4 linked regions of the Drosophila melanogaster genome follow. The gene in region 3 interacts genetically with the main gene of each other region. Each region holds a gene or a part of one and is shown on either strand. Other genes may lie near its edges.

Region 1 (7,897 bases), about 19 Mb from region 3:
TTAAATACATACAGACAACATAAAAATTACGAATTGGAAAGAAATATGCATCGGATCTTTGATGTTTGTGGAACGATTTAAACAAGTTGTTTACGGTATTGTGTTGTTCGATTTGTTTTATTTATTTATTTTAATTCACTTTACTTCCTCTCCGCTTAATTGCATACTAGATGTAAGTTTAATTTTTATGGATTACGATAGTATCTCCGTTCTCGTTTACGTTTAAAGATAGTAGCATTAAATCTTCGATTGTTGCTAGAATGTGGAAAATAGTTCAACGCAAGGCGAAATTGAAAAATAAAAAAATCTAAAAGTATGCATAATTGGTTTTCTTTTTTTTTTTGTGGTTTTCGTTTTCCTTCATTTTCATATGTGTATATATAATTTATATAAATTGCAACTATCACACGTGTCCGCCGCGACCCGGAGTCGAATCATCCGCGTCCGTATCCGGATCTGGAGTCCGAGCTCCGGAGCCGTAGAGACACACACATTGCCACAAACCGAGGCGAGCGAGGATCTTCAGCCGCTGGCCTGAACATTTGCTCCTTGTGGTGTTTGTTTGTTTTGTTTGTTTTATTTGGAACGCTGCTGAGAACAACTGCAACTGGAATCTGCCCCTTACTTAATGCTCAGAATCTTACACGACATGTAATCTTTACAAATATTCTTTGCTCGCTTAGTTGGTTTCGGGGTTTCTCTCTTTTTTTTATACAATACGATTTCAAACTTTCTACGACACGATGAAATCTCCAAAAACCCTGCGCTTTCTTCTCATGTTTAGTTTTCATTATTAATTTGCGTTGTTATTTGAAATGGTTTATGTTGGAATTATACTGATATTTTAGCTCAATTGCGTGAGTGTCAGTTTGCTTGTATATTTTTTGGACAGATATCGAGCGTAATGGGGGAAATCGGGTGTGGGAATTTGTAACTAACTTTCTTTAATTGCAACTTTCGTTTATGTTGGGAATGGGAGCTCCTTTGTTTAATGCTTATAATTCTTATGTGGTCTTTATCATTATTGGTTTCGTGGCTCTCAAATGAAATTCGTCCCCTGCGAGAGCCGGCTTTAGGTATTTCTTTCTGATTCTGTTGAATTTTTAAATAATTTTTTTATTTATAATTATCAGCATAAACTTTTCAAATCTCTCGTTGGAAATTTCATTTTCTGTAAAGCCAAAAAAAAACTGTGTTAGTAATGCAACCGTATTTCCAACGCAATTAACTTACCTACGAAGGGACATCACTTGCAGCAGTTGTTCGTCGGTCGATTTGTTTCGGTTCCAGTCGGCCTTATGCTGGTTCCCTGATTGTTGGCGCCATCGTTCTTAGGTAGTTTCTTGGCTGTGGTTGGGGTAGTGATTAGCAAAGTTTTCGAAGCGTTTACGACGGCTCCTTATAGCTTACCAATGGCCAAGAAGATGTCGTTCACATTCATGCCCGTCTTGGCGGAGGTTTCCATGAACAGCAGCCCGTTCTCCTCGGCATATTGCTTCGCTTCATCGAACTCTACGACGCGAATGTTTGACAAATCTGCCTTGTTGCCGGCCAGCGCAATGACAATGTTTGGTGAGGCCTGGAAAAAAGTTTTATTAATACATATTTTATGTAATATAATTTACGTATCAAGTGAACGAATTTCTCGAGTTAAGAATATTGAACTGAGGCACTTCATGAGCAATAATATAAATGATTATAATATTAAAACACTCTGCACGATATTCAAGTTTCCCCGCTGACACTCACTTGTTTATGCAGTTCCTTGACCCAGGTCTTCGCACGCTGAAAACTGTCCTGATTCTGTATATCATAGACGACAATAGCGGCCTGCGCTCCTCGATAATACATGGGAGCTAAGCTGTGGTACCTACAAAAGCGAATATAAGTATGTCAGATGAAGCTTTCAGTTGGGTGATCTATCCAGCGATACTTACCGCTCCTGGCCAGCCGTGTCCCAGATCTCGAACTTAACGACAGTGTCCTCTATGCAAATAGTCTGTGTCAGAAAGGCCGCACCTATCGTGCTCTCCTGGTACTCGTGGAACTGTCCCTTGACGAAGCGCAGCACCAGTGAGGACTTGCCCACAGCGGACTCGCCGAGGAGCACCAACTTGAATTGGCAGCTTTTGTTCTGCGAGGTGCCATTGGGCCGCTGCGCCGTTCCAGTGCCGCTGGCACCGCCGCTGCGTGGAGTGGTTGCCATGATCGGTTCGGGTTGGATCGGATGCGAATGTGGATGCGCTCTTCCTCCTCTGAGATGGCAACTGATATTTGGTTCTACGGACGGTTACTGCAACTCACTCCCTCTTCTGCTGAGTAAGTCTTTCTGCTAAGATTGCTGCTGAGTGTGGATGCGGAATCTGCAAAATACAAATAATGTACATATTTATAATGGAGACGGATAAAAACGAAATTGAGTGCTTCCAATTCTTCTGCCATAATGGTACGTTTTTAGGGCTTAAACTCAGTCCCCTTGAAAACATGCTGCCCATGTGGATGAATATAAAACCCACATAAAACCATCAGATGATTGTGTGGCGCCTTTGTTTGTTTAATGACGCCGTCGACAAGCCCAGTTCAATATGTACATATCCGAGAATATGCACAAAAAGCCGACGTTTTCCATCAGTAAATGAAACAGAGGAAAAGGGAAGCGTCTGCCAATGGTCACTGATAAATTCAATTGAAATTGAAAGCAGTACGCCCTACAAAAACTCACATTAGAGCTTATATTAGTTTATTTATATTTATATTTATAAGTGTTACACATCCGAAAACATATCATTACTATTTGTGTCACTTGGCAACATAATAGTACTGATAAGCTTGTGATAGGAAAATCAGTGAAAGCAATTGTTCCACGATTAGATGTTCAATGTTATGAGTTGTGTTTAGAAAATTCCTTGCGTGACTGCTTCAAACATCCACAAACACAAACATTCTTAATTACATGTGCAAATACAAATCCATCAACAACTAAAAATACTTTGGCAAACACAAAGGGGAAACCTTATATGCGCTTTCTAGGCGCAATTATTGTTTTTCCCTTTCTTCGTGGCAGATAAGGGGTTTACAAGTAATCGAAACTACAACATTCTTATCGGTCCCTTGTGCGGGAAATCTAAGTTATCGTAAAAGATATTTATTGCAGCTCCTCTAGGGGCTACCGCGCAATTGATAATTCACACACTTTCTGGTGGAAAATATTTCGAGGGCGGGTGAATTTGTGTACATATGTGTATAATAGTACATAACACAGAGGACGCCTCGCATTATTCAGCGGTAATGCGTGTGGCATTCACAGTATTTTTGTTATCAGTGCCACTTTTATGAATCATACGCCCCATTGGCCACTACACTTTTACCGATGTCCCACAGATACGTTGATCCCGAAACAAGATATCGTTTTAAACAGAGAGTAATCATTAAAATTGTTTAAAAATATTTACTGTTGCATATATTAACTAAGCTAAAGTCGTTTTCAAATCTTCACAAAGTATCGTTCACATGCTTTTCGTTTTTATGACCGACGACGGGAATCTCAGAATTCCGACAGAAATTAATTAACACATTGAAGCCAGACTGTACAGTGGAGATAAATCTACGAAGATCGGGGTATGGAATTCTACACGAGTCTTGTTTACTTTGTGGAGAGAAGTGAGCGCAGAGCGAAGAGAATTCACAGAGTGAGGGCGGAAGCTGTGATAAAAATCAATGCAAAATAAATTAACGGGGAGACGTGGAGAAAGTAAAAGCGTGACAAACATGTACGCTGTGCGGCGTTATTAAATTAACAAGGAATGAGGGAGAGAGCGAAATATGCAGGCCCTCTCTTTGCCATTAAAAATGCAGTCAGTCAACAATTGTTTGTTTCTCCCCCTCCCTTCCGATCATTCAATTGTTTTTTTCCCGGAGACTTTGGAGCCAAGTGCACAGTCACACACACATACAGAAGCCGACAACTTGGTCTCTCTTTTCGAAAACCGCACTCTCATTGCGATAAAGAAATTTCGCCTACAATTACTTTTCATTATCCAGCGAATGACGTATTTTGCTGTTTTTTGCGTCTAAGCCAAAACGAAAACTGCACTTTAAATTTAATTAAAACAAGCAGTGTGTCTCACTAAGCCAATGCAAAATTTTCCTTGAGAAGCGGACAGCTGTCAGTAAATAACTCACCGCTAATTTTAATTCGAACCGTAATTAATGCGGTTTATTAAACTTTAAAGTCACTTGGACAACAGGAGTGACTTTCGCGCCCGTCTGCGGAAAATTCAATAAAATATAAAACAACGTTCAGGAAATTACGGTTCTTTTAGAACAGCTGACGATGCGTCATTCACGCGACTAATACAAATGCAAGTGAATCAAAAAAGAGAATGAGAGCGAGAACAACAACCATACGTAGCCACAGCCTTTATCAATCAAATAGCTGTAATACGTGGAATTAAGTTACAAATCTTATGTTAGATTTTAAAGATATTTAATATAAATATGAAATAAAGAAGAACGTCCACATAGCTTGTGCTTAATTTTAAGCATGAATTAAGTTTTAAATCCACCTTTGGAAACTTAAAACATTTTCATTATATCAACATGGCCCTATTCACGTGAGCTTGACTGTGGAATTGCCTCACTCGAAAAGTCAACAAGTGCAATTTTCTCAGCACGCATATTTGAAGCACGTCTAGAAAACGGAGAATACAATTAGCGTTATATTTACTGTCACACCACACATCACTCCGTAAATATGTATAGCTTGACAAATGCGGGTCTTCCATTTGCAAAGCGAGCGAAAAGGTCTAGAATAAACAAATAGAAGGATGCGTTTTTGTTTACATTTGGGCTTTATAGAAACATCAGAGACAAAGACAGTTCTTTGAGAAACTTGCACGATAAGGGAACGGATTGCCGATAAATACACACACACCACACACCCACACTCTCTCTCATAACTAAAGACGCAAAACAGGCGGAACAAAGAACCGCGATTTTTGATCCGTTTTGGCGTGTAAAGCGCTGATAAATTGGGTGATAATGCGGGCCAAGATCCGATTTTGCCAGCTTTACTCCATACCAGAGTGCACCTGCAGTGTTCTTTATCTCTTCACAATTAGATTCGTGAACTATCTTAGGCCTTGCGACCCACTGTGCACGCTGCACTTGGAGCAGGTCGTACGGCCGTCTCGCTCTAGCGCCCACTCTCATGGGCAACGCACCCAAAATTCAGGGCCATCTATCGCGCTCGCTCTTACACTCGCACTATGGCGGACGGGGCGAAAAAATTTTACACAACTTTCTTAATTAATTACGAGGGGTGAGCGAAAACAACAACGCAAAAGCACTCGACTTTCCGCCGAATTACGCACTCTTCTAAACGCGGCACTTGGAGACCAGTTGACCATTTGCATTTACGTTTTTTCCTTTCAATTGTGTGCCCCAAAACAGCCCCAAGAAACGAAACGAAACGAGCGCAGAGGGAGATAGATAGCGACTGACTCGCCTCTCGCAAAATTATCGTCGCGTCGCAGGTCGTGTTTTTGTCGATTAACTTCCTGGGCGACGTCACCATTGATTTGCCAAAGATTTTTGTCTTTTTTAGCTTCCTTGCCTTGCTAATGGCTAGCGAAATTATCGCCTGGTTTATTAGTAAACTTAACTTACAACTTTCTTGGAATTTTATGTGTGACCGCAGGACGACTGTTGGAATATGCCAAACATATCCTAAGCTCTGCTCGTTAGCAGAGGCTCCAACCAACGATACATATTTCTATCGATTAGTGGGACCAACATATTACACAATATAAATAAAATTTTAATATAAACATTTCTTACCGTGAATATACAAAACATATTTCTTTGCTGCACGAGTCAACTAATGAATCGTAAAACGGGTATATTTTACATAATAATTGTCTTACTATGAATTTATGTAATCAATGAGCTTGCAGGAACCGGCTCCATTGGTGAATTTGTTTTAATTTTTCTTCTGAATTATTTCTTAGCAAATACACGCACCATCTACTAGTGAGTCACATTTATCTATCACGCTCTATCGTATACACTTTTATCAATTTTTGCCTGGTATTTTTAAGTACATTTGGATCGGTGCAGGACTGTTGTCATGTTGCAGGGGTCCAGCGACGGGCACACTGAATAGAAGAAGTAATAACATTGCGAGAAAAGAAGAAGTGAAAAATTAAGAAAAAGTTTACGGAAGTGCGAAATGAGTTTTAAAAAATAAATCATAATTTTGGGCGTTGCCAGGCGCATAGTAAAGTGATTGTGTTAATAAAAGAATACCGACCTTTGTGTCCTGATTCGCCTCCTTCACGCACACACTCGCACAGACTTGCACAAACACACGCACACAGTTGCGTCTTTCGTCATCTCTCTCGCTCTCAGTTTTTTATCGCAGCTGCAACGCAAATTGCAAAAAGGATAAATCCCACCGATCTTGCGAGTCCGGCCGTTGGCTTGGCTGCGAAAATATAAGCGCAAAGGTGGGCCCCCAAAAAAAGAAGCTAATCAATATTGATTTTGGTTAGCGGTATGTCTACTTTTCGGGTGGTCTCCTTTCTAGCGTGCGAAATTCTCGGGGATCCAGGATTTCAAAGGATTCTGCACACGCACACCCATCCAAGCACAGTGCTCATTCGAAAAAGCGAACATACAAGTGAGCGGAACATTAAAGCGAAAGATATATATTTTTAAACCATTACACGTACACAGAAAACAATTGATTTCTTGCGAGCAGTAAAATTAATACTTGAGCTAAATTAATATTTCTAAATATTTACACAAGTTGTAAAAGGTACACTCATTAGGCTTTTGGCAATTTGTTTGTTGGATCTAGGACCTGGTCAGGGGCTCTTACGAAACGTAAACAGGTGTAATTAATTTACTCAGAAATAAAGTTTCGCATTCCCGGCAGTTCTCCCTCTCGAATGGACACTGTACATACACACCTGATCTATACGTTTTCGCTACCTGCGAAGGAAATTTCCAAGCAACATTATGTAAAACCATTTCCTCCTACTTTCTTGCAGATGACCAAAGGACACTCAATGATCTAGGGACCTCGACACGGATAGCATGTTTAGTCCTATAAAAAAAATATTTACGTACATACAAAAAAATGCGAGCGGCTCCAATATGTTTAGCCCATCAGGAAACAAGGCCGCCGGCCAAAGGGAGGGGACCACCAGCCTAACTGCCCACGACGAAGGCGAAAGGAAGGATCAGCGGCATCTGGATCACAAGGATAATCAGAGCGAACCGGAGGAGCGGCAGCATCAGCTGCAAATATTTCCCCACCTGGACGATGACGACGACGACATCGAGAGGCAGATCAAAACCTCCATAATTGACGCCAGCAAGGTGCACGCAGCGAAAGCCAAGGCGTTGGCTTCCCTACCCATGCCGCTTGAGCAGCTCGATGATGAACTGGCGGACTTTGCTCACGGCCCGGCGGACACCGAACTAGAGGAGCAGTTCCTTGAGCTGGAGAACTATCCTAATAATGAGATAATCGTACTAGGCGATGCGGATCTTAACTCTTCAATAGCTTCCGACGCAGTCTCCGAGGACCCACTGGCAATTGACAACATTCTTGACTCCGCGTCGGTCACCACAAACGAGGAGGTCGACACCAGTGGAGAACTTCTTTGGCTGAAGTTGAACAATGAGACGGAAATGGCCACCAGATCAGCGGAGGTGGTGTCCAACAACCAAGCATCATTGGAGCCTGCCCAGCCAGCCAAACCGAAAGAGGATGAGCTTAGAGATGGTGGGTCTGATTCTGGTTTAGGAAGTGAAACCTCCGCGTTACTCAAGGATCAGGCGGAGAAAGAAGCCGAGCCGGAAATCCAGAAAAAGGTGGAAACGAAGCCCA
Region 2 (4,897 bases), on a different chromosome or scaffold from region 3:
TATCGAATAACAAACTGAGAAATCTTTATTGTTTTCTAACTCACCTGCACTATGCTGTTTACGGAGTAGTATTGACAGTGTTTCGGTGGTGTATATTGGCAGACGCGACTTAAATAGCATCCTTTCTGCACCTCAGGATACTCACATGCCCAAGTGCACTCATCGGTGGTTATATTGTCCCCAACTGGACGTTCCTTTGTGGTAGCAGGTGTGCTAGGAGTGACTATCATGGGTGGTGGGGGAGGAGGTGGTGCCACACTTGAAATATTCGACATGGTATTTAGTTAAATAAATAGACTAAGCGAGTTAACAGACAATAGCCACAGCTGTTTTCGCAGACAAATATTAACAGGGCTGAGTTATCGATAAGCGATATTCTGTGTTCACCTGGTTGCATCTGTTCTACAGTGGGCACAAAGTAAATTAAGCCCACATAAAAATATCAAAATAAGCTTATTTGACTTTTATTGTAAATTGTTCAAGTTTATTCTTTAAATTAAACCAAAGAGCATGAGAATTCATAAAATGAATCTTTGGAAAAAAATAAATTCGAAATATACACAATTTACATATATGTATTACCAAAAACAAGGAGCAATTTTACATGGAATACTATTCATAGTTATAGGATATATCGAGTAACGTTATAACTAAACCAAATTCACGCTCGAATGTTATGCATAAAGAAGTTTTGTGGAGCTCAGCCAATTACAATAGAGTAGCCAATTCGATGGTGCAGGAAATTATGTCTGTAAATTACATTTAAAAAGTTATTCTTTTATTAAATTTACAATCACAAGATTTTTTGTTTGTTTAGAAGATACTCTGATGTTGTATTCTCAATGTTGCTGTTCTGTTGCAAAAGCCAGCAGCGGTTGCGTGCAAAATTTGACTAATACAATGGCAAAAATAGTACTAGGGAGATAGGCGGGCGGTCGGTCAGAAACATGAATTATTAAATACGAGTACACAGAGCATACTTATTCATTGAACGGTTACTTAGGTCGTAGGAAAGTGGGTATACTGGTTAAGCCTTTGCCAGAGGCTCGTTAAGACTCAGCTGATGTTGATCTGAATCTGAACTTTGCATCCTATCAGTTAATTAATTACTATGCTGTTTTGCTGAAATTGTTTTACTTAATCATATAACACCTTCCTCTATCGTCCTTTGTGTTGCTTGCTTCTCATGTTCATTATTATGTTGGAAATATTATTTAATAATATAGATTGTGTAATTATCCATTTTGCGTTGTTGTTACATTAGCACTGACAGTTGTCAGGATTGCCAGGACGATTGTTTTGCGAGCCCAAGGTAATCTGATCGGGGAAATCGTTGATAACTTCAGCCTGTGTGAAAGTACAAAGTTCGATTTAGTATGGAAAACAATATTTAAATAGGATTTCTTACCTCCGCCTCCAACTCTAACGCATTCTTGGCTATAACTTGAAACGCCATCTCCACGTTGATGCCCTCCTTGGCGGACGTTTCGTAGTAGGGTATATCGTTCTTAGATTGGCACCATTGCTGCGCTCGACGCGTGGACACCTGGCGGTTGTCCAAATCCACCTTATTGCCCAACACAACGAAGGGGAAGTGATCGGGATCCCGTGGACTGGCCTGTATGAGGAACTCGTCGCGCCAGGAGTCGAGATTCTTGAACGAGTTGGGCGCCGTCACATCGTAGACAAGCACGCAGCAGTCGGCTCCGCGGTAAAACGCCACTCCAAGCGACTGGAAGCGTTCCTGACCAGCAGTGTCCCAGATCTGTTATTGAAATTTTGCGAGTTATGTCACTGAAATAGGATTACTGGAAGTTCATAGTGCTTACCTGCATTGTGACCACTCGGTCGTTGACCACCACCTCTTTCGTGCAGAAATCAGCTCCGATCGTGGCTTTGTATTGGTTGGAGAAGCGTTTGTTTACATACTGATTCATCAGAGAGGTCTTGCCCACACTGCTGTCGCCCAGAATGATGACTTTCAGTAGGGATTTCTTACGTCCGGACATTTCGATGCAGTTTGTGGCGTTGGCTTACTCGGGGTTATTTCTTTTGGTATTTGGTGCTGAAAACCACAGAATATTATTGATTGTGTGTTAAAAATACCATTGCGGTTTCCTCTAATTCGATTAGGAAGTGTAGGGGTGTGATGGTTTCTTTCCTAAGATAAATGAAAGTGAACTGCGCAAACCTCTAGAGTCTAAACTACATGCCAATGAAAGCCGTAATCTCTGCCAGGACCTGACTGCCTAAGTGCTCGAAGTGCAAGCCATTCGCAGCTGTAAAATGTTTGTAATGACGAGCAGTTGTGCTACGCCGTGCTGGGTGATAAACAAATCGGGTGAGTCACTCTGAGCAATCCGCAGTGTGTGATCGCTGGACTGTGTGAACAGGCGGTCAGTAGGGGAGGGAGGTGCCCGCATCGAGGCGATAAAGCGTGATCACTATTGGCGCAGCGGAGAAAGTGCGCTGAGTACAGACAAAGACGAGGTCGAGCTAATAAAGCGGGTCTGGAATACCAGGAAAAGTGCCTGGGAAAACGCCCATTTCCTCAAAGTCCTCGATGGCAGGGGGAGTCACTATGGTGCAATCGAAAATAGTGCGAAAGTGGACTCTCCAAAGGGAGATAAACTCCCCGCCCCCCTTTTTTAGACCATGAACAACTTGTTTTTGTGCTCCACCATTACAACTACGCCACTAATTGCGTCGGTGTGCGTGGGTCTTTGTTGTGTACGTTTTTCGAGTGTGCGTGTGTATGTTTGATGTGGGGCTCCACTGGCATTTTCCATGCACTTTTCGCCTGCTGCGTAACACTCTTTTTAACGCTTTGCTTTTGCTATTCGCCTAATTCCTTTTGTAGTGGCACTCACTTTGAACACTGGTGAACACTCCAAGAGCTGTTTCTTTGTGGGGCGCTTCGGTTTTACTAAAAAATATTCAATTAATTACGCAGTGAATTTTGTTGTTGTCTCGCTAGGAGAATCGCTCTCATCTCTACTGGTCAGTACTGGTTATCGATAGTGCAGTCGTGTTACAGCTATCGGTAGAAGTTGACTATCTTTAGGCTGTCGTTAGCCAACACTTTTTTGTGGCCAATTAACGAATTGTATCCTATTTTTGTTGAAATTATCACTGAAAAATATTGAACAGCCAGGAAAAACCAAAAGCTGCTAAACGGTGGTCACCTGGGCTTACATAGGAGGCTATAATCGAAATGGCCACGCTTCCGCCGCGTAAGAGTCAGACCCCTACGAGGATCTGCATCTCTAAGCAGCATCTGACGCCGCTCCAAACATTGCTCCAAATGGGGTTTCCCAGGCATAGAGCGTGAGTTTTCTATGCATAGCGTATTGGCAGTCACCAGCTGCTCTAGGTTCCATCCAAGATATAGTGGCTATGCGTGCGAGTGACCCACTATGTTGATTTGTTTCATAGAATCAGAGTATTGATTTTTTTGCTTACCCCTACACAGGGAGAAAGCTTTGGCTTCAACTGGTAATCGTGGTGTCCAGATTGCCTCGGATTGGTTGCTGGCACATGTCAACGATGGCACCCTGGACGAGTGCGCCCCCAGGGAATATATTATATATGCTTGTCCCACGGGTCCGTTTCTGCAGCAGCTGGAGGAGTTCTGGGCCAAGTCGCGCCAAATGTGCGGTTGGAATGGAGCACACAACTACGTGCCTCACATAACCCTGGTTTCGTTTTTTAAAGTGAGCTTAAGTTGGATTATCCAGACTTTATTTATTCACCTAATCGAAATTACAGGCCCCCGATGAGTGCTCGCTGCAGCTGTCCAAGGCGCTCAAACAGGTGGTGGACATGACGGGCGCCTTGTTGGATCGCCCCCTTAAACTGGAGCCCTACATGAGTCAAAACTTCATGGGTTTTTTCGTGGCCGAGGAGGATGCCAACTATCTGAAACGACTGGCCCTGCAGTACGTGAAGGAGGTGTCCAACTCAAGTACGAATTATCCTTCTGTTGGTTGCACTCTCTTTGGGTTGTTTTGGTTTACCTTTCTCACGTTCTGTTCGATTCGGTTGATGGTTTTCCATTTTTCGGAGTGGCTTACACGGTTATGTTGTTCTCCTCTCTTCCTGCACACTTCTGGATAATCTGGGATATGCTGCACAGTCATTAGCGATACCTATGAGCAGTTGGACGCCATTGTGGCCTGCTTTCCCTGGTGCGGTGCTGTCTCCTCGGGCACCCGCTGCATTCCGCGCAGCAGTCGATGTAAGCCATTAGCTAGAGCCATTAGTTTGCATAAAATCGTTTTTGATTCACCCAAAAGTACACTTTCTTATCACTCTATGCATGCTTTAGTTGCACTGGTAGATAAGTTACTAATCTAATCGCCCTTTTGGCGAAATTCAACATGACGCTGCTAATTGTAGTTAATTAGTAGTAACTGTAGATAGCAAGGTGATCGATGTTTTTGGTAGCTACATAGTTAATTTGTTTATACCCCGTTTCATTTGTTTGAAAAATATTTCAGTTTATTATTAAAACCGATTAGTGTCACTATATATACAAAAAATCTTTGATTATTAGAAGACCAGAACTGTAGTTGATAAGCCCGTGACGTTTGGTTTTGCCCAAAGATAACTTTAAGTGACTATAATTCCTTATCGAAAAACATCGATTCACCGTGTTAGATACGAAAGCATATAACCAGCACCGCCTTCATTTCCATTCAGTAATCGTTTGTTCCGCCTAGCGAAAGGCTACTAATAGCTTCTAACTACCTGTAGCCATCTCACTCGAGCCACACGTTAAGAGCCTGCACCTGACGCTTGCCTACCAGTTCCCGCAGGCACAGTTTAATGCACTGAAAGCACTCGTGGAGACCTTAGACGCCAGCTGCGCTTCCAATTGGGAACTTCGTCTATATTC
Region 3 (4,620 bases):
GCTTTGATAGCTCCGCTCGCACTCTGGCTCTTGATATTATCCTGTCCCTCCGGCCAACTCAGGAGCAATTGGGCAACTTCTTGGATTACCTAGCCTCCAATGATCGCCAGTTTGAGATCAAAACATACGTGCTGCAGAAGCTAAGAATGCTGGCTGAGAAGTGCCCGCGATTTAGGGCTTTGTTCAAATCGGAGCTTGTCAAGCGGAGGCATGTAAACAACTACAATGTGCTGGGACAAAAGGGTGAGTACCTAATTTCCTAATGACACTGTTCAAACAATTATGAACTTTAATACTTACAGGTCTTACGACAGTCCTCACCCGTCAGCTTTCCCAGGCTCCAGCCTTCAACGAAACCCTGCTAAGTACCCAGGAAGTGTATCAGGGAATCCTGAAACGTGGCTCCGTGGAATTTCTGCTCCACGCAGGCCGTTCCCAAGCCAGCAGCTTTAAATTGGGCATCTACACTGCCGGCTTGGGCTCGCTGGTAGGCGATGGTGACTCCGGCGATGGAAATGATGCAATCCCGGCGGATGATGAGTTCAGCGAAGACGAAGCGGTCACCGCGGGCATGGAGATCAGTGTGCAGGGTGCTCAATTGCGACCCCTAGTATTCTTCAGCGGTCAGACCGAGCTAATGGGTCACGTGTGGGGAGGAAGTGCCTCGGACTCAACGCCCGCTTACCAGGCAACCACTTTGTCCCAGGATAACGAGCACTACATAATCCTGACCTCCGGGGCGACGCTCCACTGGCGAGTTCTGGGCGCCAGGAGTGTGGATCTCAATGGCAAGGTGGGATTCAGCCTGTGGAATCGAAATGCCCAGACGGAAATCCAGCAGAAGTAAGTGAAAAAGCCAAAGCATTTGATTGGAATGTTATTTAACTCACGATTAACTTTTGGCTTATAGCACTGGCAGCGCTGTTCTTGGTCATTTGGCCGTTGGCTTTACGTATGCGAAATTAGTGCAGGATTTCAGCATCACCCACGAACCAAAGTTGAGTCTGAATGCGGACTTGGACTTCTACAGCGGCATTAAATTGTGCATGCAACTCCAGCGACCTGAACAGCTTCTCAAGTAAGTTTGCTAGAACTATTTTAATGACTCACATGCTAATTGAAAGCCTCCTTCACAGACAAACCAACGTTCGTTCGGTTTTCCTGCAGTCTGTTGATCGTCCTTATGCCAAACATGTGCGCTCTACACTCTCCCACAAAACTGCCGGCTGCACTTTTGCCCTCAACCAAAAAAACAACGAAATGTGCAACCTCATTTTTAGGGACTTGTAGATTCTACTCAAGAGATTATTGGAGATTCCTTGCATAAAAACTATATTTCTATGTGAAAACTCAGAGATTAAGACTCGATATAGTTGTAAACTTAAACGAACAAAGACCATTTAATTTTCAAATGCAACAAGTTTTTAATATCTTTTGAGCAACTCGAAAATTACTGGAAAAGTGGAAATGTGCATTTTTTCTCGATTCACAATAGTCACACCTTAGATTTAAAAATCCCGCCCAAGTGCTGCGAAACGCGAAAGGGGACTTATCGAGCTATCGATTGCAAGAGCTACGCATTCCCATCCCTAAATTCCGCAGTACATTCAAACACTACTACGTTGTGCTTCTTCTTCAAACGCGGCATAAAAGAGGTGCACTCCACAAGCACGAAAAGAAAATAACTACTGCAAAAATATCGTCGAACGCACGAGTCATATTAAATAAAGGTTAATAGAAGCAGGCATCGGAAAAGCTTGATTCCGGAGAAGTGAAACAAATTAGGCCACCGAATGGTGCTCTTCTTCTTTTTGTCGGAATTAGAAGGCTCGTCGCACACACACAGTCGCAAACAAATGCGAAATCAAAAGCGTCATCCGATTGTCTAAAGTAAATACTTCTATTTGCAAGCTGAAAGGCGCGACAAATTAAATAGTTCAAACTTAATAAATCGATATTTGTGTCACCAATTTGCGCGTTTAAATCAAGTGCTAAGCAATGTACTAAAATTAACAATTCCCTTGCCTTTTAAACTCATACAAACACAATTGGAGCGAGAAAGAGATGGGAAAGAAGAAGAATTGTTGTTGTTGACGTGTTCTGTTTGTGCTCATGTGTGCGTGTTCGGGAATTTCTGTTGCGTGAAGTTGCAATACCAAAAAAACCACGTGTGAAATGTTCTGCAATTTTTGTAATTTATTCTGCTGAATTGTTATCACTTTTTAAGAAAACAATCTGTAAGAGGCGTTTGCCTTGGCATCTTATTGGCACAACATTTTAACGCAAATTACTACTCCGTACGAAAGCATTAAGAATCATAAATAAATAAAAAACGAGATCTGAAATCTGAAATATGTATATTGAAGAAAGATCTAGAATATCCAAAACCAGGGGCACAGATGGTGACTATTTTTGTGAACTGCATTGTGATAGGGGTACCTTTTTACCACACACACTTGCGCACTTGCTGCTCTCTCCCTATTCTCCCACTTTTTATAACGGTATCACGCACCCTGCTTATCGGCATTGTGAAAATTTTGTTTGGCTTTAAAGAAATTTCCATTCATAATAATTTTGTGTATTTCAAAAGTTGGTTTATTTGCAAAAATATGTATAAATTCATTTGCTAACATTAGTTTTTTACTTGTATGGTTTGGGTGATGCTCTCTCAAACTTCTTTAAGTCTCACTCGTCCGACATCCAACCGCACAGTGGGAAAGTTCTTAATCCTTTCTGCCATTATTTCAGTGCTTAAAACAGGATTTTTTGTGTGAAAAATCCGAATTCACTGATATAAATACACTAAATTGTTGTTATGTTATGTTTTAGTAAAGTTGGAATTAGCTTGATAAAATCATGATTTTATTATTCTTTAGTTTTTTAATAATGAGATTTTGTAAATTGTTCCTAAACAATAAACAATAATAACTAAAAAAAAAAAACAGTATTTCATGCATACCACTGCACATTAATCCCACTGTTCGTCAAACGTTGGAGAGCGAGCAACGACGAGAGGTTCGCAACCGAAGCAGCAAACGAAAGTCTATTTAAGCAACCCGCAAAAGGCGCTCTTTCGTATTGCCCGATAATTTTTCGACCGCGCTGCTTGTGTTTTCGGTTCCCGCTGAAACAAACATAAAAAAAAGAATATAAAAAATATATATAAAAAAAAATGGATGTAGGGCGAAAATAGTTAAACCACTTTAAATATACGAAATACGCGAATTTCGGAAACTAGAAAATCCATCTTTTAAGGTAGTTTATTTATCCATCTCGCTTTTTCACTCTCCTCTGTGTGCGTGCGTGAGTGTGTGTGTAAAGGCCAAATAGTGCCCTTCGCCTCCCCGGCCACGCCCCCTTGGGCAGAGTAATAAAATGGGAAAGAGAATATATATCTTGCTCCTTTAGAATTTACCTGTGAAAGTGAAAACGTGACAACACGATAAAACGGACGAAGCAAGCAAAACAAAAAACGAGTGCATAAAAACAACGAAGGAGGATAAGAAAAAGAACAAGTGCAGCAAATCAGAAAAAAGAGAACGGAACAAGAACACAGAAAAAAAGTAAAAATAACCAACGAAGAAGGGCAAGGAAAACAAGAACAAAAACATCAGATATTGACAGGTAATAGCAGTCACTCTCCCATCCCTTTTTTTATCGCTCTCTACCCAAGAGAATTTCGAATTTAGTTGCACTATCACCATTTCTATGATTCATTTGTTATTTTGATAATAAATTGCAATTCACGTGGACTAAAGGGTTCAATCATGATATGATTGTTCTTTGTGATTCATTGTGATCATACATTTTATTCAAATTTGTTTTTGCTGAGATCCAACAAAATTGTATAAGTCTTAAAATGCCGTTTTTTAACTTTCATGTGCTCTTTATACCTACATAACTGATTAGATAGACGTTATTTTTCGTTCAACCTTGCACAATTTATGACGGCAGCAAACCACGTTATTCCATGTTGATAGCGAGAAAGAAGTTCAACTTTTTAATGCTGTTTAGTTAGGCATTAAAAATGTTGTAAAAAGCGAGTTCCGTTTTGTTCTTAAATTTACGGTGGATTATGTTGGTCGTTGGCTTTTTTTTTGTCCCATATTTTATGTTTATAGCCTAAATATAAGTTTATTATAAGTTTAATATAAATTTATGGTATATGTAGTGATTTTATACTTTAGTTTGGAATTTATGTGGACTTATGCACAAGTTCAACAGCTACAAATGTGTAACTTCAAAAAACCCCTTCCGTATTTCCCCCAAATAAACATTTTATGTCTTATATCTTCCTAATCATGACTCATCAATAGATAAATATTTTTTGGGTTTGGCAATCTCCGATTGCAAAATAGACGACCTTTGGAGTTATTAATTATAACTCTGTTTGTACTTCAAACATTTGTTTAAGCGATAAATATTCCTCATTGGGTCATATAATTTGTTTAATCTATAACTATAAATACAGTCCTGCTGGCTGAGTTTCAACGAAAAGGCAATGCAATCAGCAAACATTTGCCAAAAATTAAATTTCTCTGCTTGGTTATCTTATCTGCGGGCCAGAGAGCCGCATAAAGGAACACTAAATCGGCAAAACATGAGCCAGGTACTTGCGCA
Region 4 (5,670 bases), on a different chromosome or scaffold from region 3:
TCACGCCGGAGCAGTTGGAGTGCCTGGAGGCGGAGTTCGAGCGCCAGCAGTACATGGTCGGCCCGGAGCGGCTCTACTTGGCACACACCCTAAAGTTAACGGAGGCTCAGGTGAAGGTGTGGTTCCAGAATAGGCGGATCAAGTGGCGCAAGCACCACTTGGAACTGACACAACAACGGCTGGCATTGATAAGGCAAACTCAACTGCCAGGTACATCGTTATTGGGCAATCAAGTATCCGTGTCGGCCAATGCGGCCCATTCTGTGTCCACGGAACGCACAAACGGATGCAGTGCAGCCTCGCCCAGCCTGCAGGAGGAGGACAACGAGGATAGCAAGCACTCGCTGTCGCTTTCGGGCGCATTACCGCCGTTGAGTCGAGCGCAGTCCGAGTCGGATTTGTCCATCTGTAACGATTCCCTGGACGGCGACAGCCTCATGGACGGCAGCGAGGAGGCCTAAAAACCACGCCAGTGCAAAGCAAGTTTCCTGTAAATATAGTCAAATAAATATGTACAATATCGGTTTTCTATACTTCTGCTTGTCTTTAATTGTTGATGATTAGCTGCAAGTTGATTGTTACAATCAATCAATGCAAACTATATTATATTGTATAAGCATTGCAGTATATCCATTACATACGAGTACTGAAAAAGCTTATTTAAAAACAGAATAATACAGACATTTACACTCAATTCGCACTTTATACCTTGATCAGTTATCACATTGGAGTATTTCACTTATTGCTGAGCAGCCGCCCTGGCGAGCCGATCGTGGCAGGATAGGTGCACGATGTGCCCATTTGGATAGCGCACGAAGGCGGACTGGGTTTGAAAACGCTTCTTGCACTCGGAACACACACTAGACTCGTTTAACTCGAAGCTAATGTTTCGCTGCTCCTCCAAGGCATTCTCCAGGCGCGTGGACTCTGCCTCCAGGAAGCCGCACATCATCTGCATCTCGTGCTTGTCGGCCATCATTTTACGTATAGATTTCTCCAAGTATTTCTCCAGCTGGGGCATGGGCATGTCATCGGGAAGGTGCTGCAAAATCCAAAATGGTTGAGAAATATTTCTAATAAGTCATGCATTCAATGCATTCTTCACCTCGAAGATCTCGAATGGATCGATTCTGGTGGCGTGGGTGTTAAGTATTTCCAGGGCCACCTCTCGATTCACTTGCGAGAAATCCGGATGCAAGGGCACACCATCATAGAGCGGTTGAGTTGGTGGTATTAATATGCACTTAATGAGCGTGTGAAATATGTGCTTGTCCTCTTTGTAATGGGCTTCCGCATAGGCCGTTGCCTTGGCCACATCTCCGAGAACATGAATATAGATGGACAGGACGTTGTCGTGCTTTTTGAGCCTGCCCAGGATTAGGGCACGCTCCTCCAAGAGTATATTGGTTGGAAATTCCTCTAGGAGGCGATCCGGCGAATAGTCGTTGGACTCCTCCAACATCTTGTAGAGCTTGGCTCGCATCGGAATGAGTTCGGGAACTTCCTCTCTAGAAAACAGGTGAGTATAAGCATTTTGATCCAGTACAATGACAGACTCTCACCCTTTTTCCTGCTGAGCAAGAAGCCGTTGCACCTTTTCGCGATACTGCTTGAGGAGCACATTGTGGAGCAGGGTGTTGCCGTCCTTCCATTCAGTGATTACGTGCTCCAAATAGGGAATGACAAGTGCTTTGTGCTTGCTAATAAAAAAATCAAGAACTTTGGCGCGCGGCAGGGATTCCACTTCAATAAGTTCGTCGGTGAAAATGGTTAGGCCTTCCTCGGGATTATCGTTTAAGACCCAGTCAGCGAACTCAAAGATCAGCGGCAGATGATCACCACCCAGCTCCTGAAGATAGCGTATGGTACGCTTGCGACCCTGCAGCACAGATCCTTCGATGCTCGCCTGCTCTCGAAGCAGTTTAAGGGCCTCCTTGTGCTTGCCCTTCATCTGGTAGAGGATGATAAGTTCAGAGATCTTGTTGTGCTTCTTCAACGTCTTTTCCGACTCCTCTAAGTGGCACTGGTTTAGGCGTAGCAGTGGTGCCACCAGAGAGTCGTTTGTCTGCAGGTAACACTTCAGCAACGTTGTATCGATGATCTCCAGCAGGGACTTTGAACTACTTTTAGTGTCGCGCAGCTTGACCACCTCCCGCTGTCGGGCCCATGCCAGATACTCGATCAGTGCCAAGTAGGCGTTCTCCAGGTCGCTATCCTCAAGCGCCGGAGTACTGGACGTAGGCACGGTGACATCTTCGGTGCCGGGCTTTGGTTCTGGCACCAAGTTTGGGAACAGTCTTATCACATCGTAGGGATCTATAGCCGCCTTTTCAAACTCCTTCATGGCCGCCGAGAACTCCTTATTGGTAAACAGCTCTTTCGCATAGAGCATGTGTATCTGGCGAATGGTTTGGGCTCGGTCCGCGGCAGGTTCATCGGAGATTTGCTGAACATAAAGTTTGTTGTAGTCGTCGTATTTTGATTTCGTTTATCGGACTCACCGTCAGCTCAATAGCCAGTTGGAATTTCTTTTGCTGTAGCAACTGCTGACGCTGGATAGGGATTTCCACCATTCGAATGCACCAAAGCTCGGAGGTGGCGGCGGCAAAGATGGTTCCCTTGTCGGCGTGAACCAGGAATTTCGTCTTCTGTAGCTCGGGAATGGTCTGGACCAGGGTGTCCTTGCCCACTAGGCTGCGCACCTCGATGGCGTTGTTGACACGACCCACAGCGAATGGCTCATCCCAGACTGTAATGAAGATAATGTGATTTAGAAATTGGCTTGAAGTGAATAGTGAGTATCGTACCCAGATCTAAAAGCGGACTTGACCAGAGCAGAGGAGTTAGGGAACTATTGCTGTCCATGGCAGCTGGCCGGACATCTGTTGAGTTATTGATTCCATCCGATTCTTTGTACTGACTCGGATCTACTACGACGAGGTAGCTGTCCTTAGAGATGCCCAACATGTTGTTCCGGATAAGGCAAATGCAGGGATCTCTGCTGATACTAGAGGAGGTAAGGAAGAGGTTGTGCTTCTTTGGTGCTTTTCCTGATATCTAGAATTGGATATGCAGACCTTTAAAATACGAAGTAAATCGACTTTAAAGCATTTCTCACATCGTAAACAACATATTCGTCTTTGAAGCCCACGCAGACAGCATGGCCCACCCAGCACAGTGTCCTGGGCACATCGCTGAGCTCGATGATCAATTCCAGGGAATTAAGCTTGTCCTCCTTCCAAAAGAAGAACACAAGACGCCGCCGGATAGCGCAGCACACCCGTATGACGGTGGCCACACGTCCGGTTGTGGACTTCGGCGTGTCCACGTCCATGGTGAACAGGGTGCATCCCTTCGTGTCGGGCGCACTGTGCATGAAAGCGAAGTTGCTCTCAATCCGCCGAATGTCGCACACCTGCACCTGTAAGTCGGTGAGTACGAAGAGCAGGTTCTCCGAGGCAATCACTTCCATTTGGGTGATCGGTTTCCGGCTGAAGTTCTTGTTGAACATCCGCATGTCCACGCCCGTCTCCTCGTCCACAGAGTACATGATCAGCTGTCCGCTGCGGGTGCCCAAGATGACATGGTTGCCTGAAAAAATGCGTCCGGTGAGTAATAGCTGTGCACCGAAAATTCCACTCACCATATGCCGCAATTGACTCTATCTGCACGCCCTGTTTCAGGATCGAGTGAACACTGTAGGCCTGGTGCATCTTGGCCAAGTGGAAAAACTTCGGTCTCCTCCGCCTCAATTTATTTTCGTAAAAAAGCTTATAAACAAACCAGATGGGAGTACCACTAATGATAGCTGATGATGATAGATATCGATAGCTTTAGCGGTGGTAAATCGATTTCTTCCTCTTATGGTGATAGCGAAATAACTTAAATATACAAAGTAGAAAATAAAATTTGTACATGTTATAATTTAAGATTCAATCGCTAATGACTAAAAAGTTGAGTGAAATTTTAAATTACGATACTTTAAACGAATGCTGCCAGACTCTGCATTGCTGTCGATAGCACCAGTTCGATATACTGGTTCCCCGCGAAACCGTCCACCTCTAGTCCTTTTCACTTTAGCGAGGCGAAATTGTCACATTTACATTTGACAAAATTGTAAGTTTTGAAACAACTCTGTCGCTTTATTTCGGGTTGAATGTTTTCATTGCATTACTACCCACCCAGTGAAGTCGTTGAGTAACAGTTTTACCCCGTTCCCGCTCCAGGGTCGCCAACAAGCCCGCAGACAGCAACAACATCGAAAGTAGCTGCACAGCAACAACAGCAAACAGCCAAAATGCCCAAGAATAAAGGAAAAGGAGGCAAGAATCGTCGTCGTGGTAAGAACGAGAACGAGTTCGAGAAGCGTGAGCTGATCTTCAAGGAGGACCAACAGGAGTACGCGCAGGTGACCAAGATGCTGGGCAACGGTCGTCTGGAGGCAATGTGCTTTGATGGCGTCAAACGCCTGTGTCACATTCGGGGGAAACTTCGCAAGAAGGTGAGTGCTGCTCTGACTACGCTCTTTGTTTCGCCTGTGCTCTCTTCGCTTGCGTTGAGTGGGTGCCCCTCTCTAAGGTGGCTCTCTTAAGCCATTTTGGCATTGATTGCCAGCGAATGCTACGTATTTACGTTATTGTTTTTGTTGAAATGCAGGCAGTTTTTGTGATTTTGGGGGATTTTGCATTACCCTGCTAACTTTCGACCTTTCTATACCTAATTTTCAACTCTCTTTTTCTGCAATTCTCTTTTACTGGTCCATTATTGAGTGGGTGTCATCGTCCTTGTGCGAATGCATTAACAAAAGAGCAGTGGGCGGTGTGGACGGGGCGGCTGATTAATAATACGCAAGTGCCTATGCACTGATGTATGTATGTAGATGAAAGCAAAGCAATAGCACTGCAAATACAGGGTGACCGCCGATACTTAATTCTTTCAAATAATTCGATTTGAAATGTAAAAAGGCGTAATACTTAAAATAAGTACTATTCTGTCGAGGTTATAGTCAATTTCACTTTACTGTCTACTTAAAACCATATGAAATTTAATTTTATTGATACAATATATATCATTTTAAACAATAGAAGTATGATATATCATATAAGTATATATATATATATCATAAGAAGTATGATATATATAGTCAGTTTTCACTTCAGCGATTCTGAAACTAAGCTAGTGAAAAAGTTTTGCTACGCACTTTTTTTTTCAATTTTTTCATGGTAGTACACCTTACGCAAAATTTTGCGTATATCTTTTGCATTTGAATTAGCTATTCAGTTACATGTTTTCAATTGCGAATACAGCCTCCTTTATAGCACTAATTTGGGTGGTCAAACTGCATTCCATGAAATACCATACGTCCGCAATGGTAGTTCCTCCTTATCACCTACCTGAGTTAGCCCTGGTCGTGGTCACGGTCGTCCATATAGAGATTAGATCGTTTCTTCCGAAGGGAATGAGCACATGTCAAATTTTGGATTGTGCTTCACGCCGCAGGAGACGGGCGTCATAAATAAGATTCCATCCAAATCGACTGCGTCAAGATTCGCGGCGTAATTAGTGACGTCTTCGATTTCTAGTAGGTGTCAAGTAAATATACAATACCAGAAGTGGACTCCAATCGGAGCGAACAAATCAGACATGAAGTTATAAAGGAAACTACGCAAC

What was found.
Region 1: of sky (region 3) and Rab5, changing one enhances a phenotype caused by changing the other (phenotypic enhancement), as found in Drosophila melanogaster (one study listed by BioGRID).
Region 2: of sky (region 3) and Rab7, changing one suppresses a phenotype caused by changing the other (phenotypic suppression), as found in Drosophila melanogaster (one study listed by BioGRID).
Region 4: of sky (region 3) and Vps39, changing one suppresses a phenotype caused by changing the other (phenotypic suppression), as found in Drosophila melanogaster (one study listed by BioGRID).

The regions. Positions count from the first base shown.
Region 1 is NT_033779.5:2,359,223-2,367,119, forward strand, and holds Rab5 (Rab5), read right to left. Parts: upstream 6,052-7,897; 5' UTR 5,839-6,051; intron 5,733-5,838; exon of another isoform or gene 5,615-5,732; intron 5,500-5,614; exon of another isoform or gene 5,091-5,499; intron 4,283-5,090; exon of another isoform or gene 4,183-4,282; intron 3,560-4,182; exon of another isoform or gene 3,453-3,559; intron 2,634-3,452; exon of another isoform or gene 2,517-2,633; intron 2,364-2,516; 5' UTR 2,207-2,363; coding exon 1,938-2,206; intron 1,871-1,937; coding exon 1,750-1,870; intron 1,580-1,749; coding exon 1,411-1,579; intron 1,348-1,410; coding exon 1,247-1,347; 3' UTR 1,234-1,246; intron 1,172-1,233; 3' UTR 344-1,171; downstream 1-343. Other genes in the region: Axud1 (AXIN1 up-regulated 1), read left to right, coding at 7,099-7,897.
Region 2 is NT_033777.3:23,991,114-23,996,010, reverse strand, and holds Rab7 (Rab7), read right to left. Parts: upstream 3,004-4,897; 5' UTR 2,871-3,003; intron 2,833-2,870; exon of another isoform or gene 2,735-2,832; intron 2,279-2,734; exon of another isoform or gene 2,192-2,278; intron 2,066-2,191; 5' UTR 2,010-2,065; coding exon 1,830-2,009; intron 1,766-1,829; coding exon 1,409-1,765; intron 1,348-1,408; coding exon 1,261-1,347; 3' UTR 559-1,260; downstream 1-558. Other genes in the region: CG33108 (uncharacterized protein), read right to left, coding at 45-275; Epp (ecdysteroid phosphate phosphatase), read left to right, coding at 3,215-3,327, 3,473-3,713, 3,769-3,964, 4,136-4,237, 4,756-4,897. UniProt on the Drosophila melanogaster protein: Small GTPase which cycles between active GTP-bound and inactive GDP-bound states. In its active state, binds to a variety of effector proteins playing a key role in the regulation of endo-lysosomal trafficking.
Region 3 is NT_033779.5:20,915,909-20,920,528, reverse strand, and holds the start of sky (skywalker), read left to right. Parts: upstream 1-1,597; 5' UTR 1,598-1,730; exon of another isoform or gene 1,731-1,890; intron 1,891-3,067; exon of another isoform or gene 3,068-3,386; 5' UTR 3,387-3,624; intron 3,625-4,620. Other genes in the region: Mtp (microsomal triacylglycerol transfer protein), read left to right, coding at 1-243, 303-843, 911-1,078, 1,137-1,290. UniProt on the Drosophila melanogaster protein: GTPase-activating protein (GAP) for Rab35 which regulates synaptic vesicle (SV) protein recycling and turnover at the neuromuscular junction boutons and possibly ventral nerve cord via endosomal trafficking.
Region 4 is NT_033777.3:18,270,641-18,276,310, forward strand, and holds Vps39 (vacuolar protein sorting 39), read right to left. Parts: upstream 3,807-5,670; 5' UTR 3,714-3,806; coding exon 3,644-3,713; intron 3,592-3,643; coding exon 3,119-3,591; intron 3,058-3,118; coding exon 2,808-3,057; intron 2,750-2,807; coding exon 2,502-2,749; intron 2,447-2,501; coding exon 1,563-2,446; intron 1,509-1,562; coding exon 1,106-1,508; intron 1,043-1,105; coding exon 740-1,042; 3' UTR 549-739; downstream 1-548. Other genes in the region: CG18599 (uncharacterized protein), read left to right, coding at 1-461; eIF1A (eukaryotic translation initiation factor 1A), read left to right, coding at 4,298-4,501. UniProt on the Drosophila melanogaster protein: Part of the homotypic fusion and vacuole protein sorting (HOPS) tethering complex involved in endo-lysosomal vesicle trafficking and lysosome biogenesis.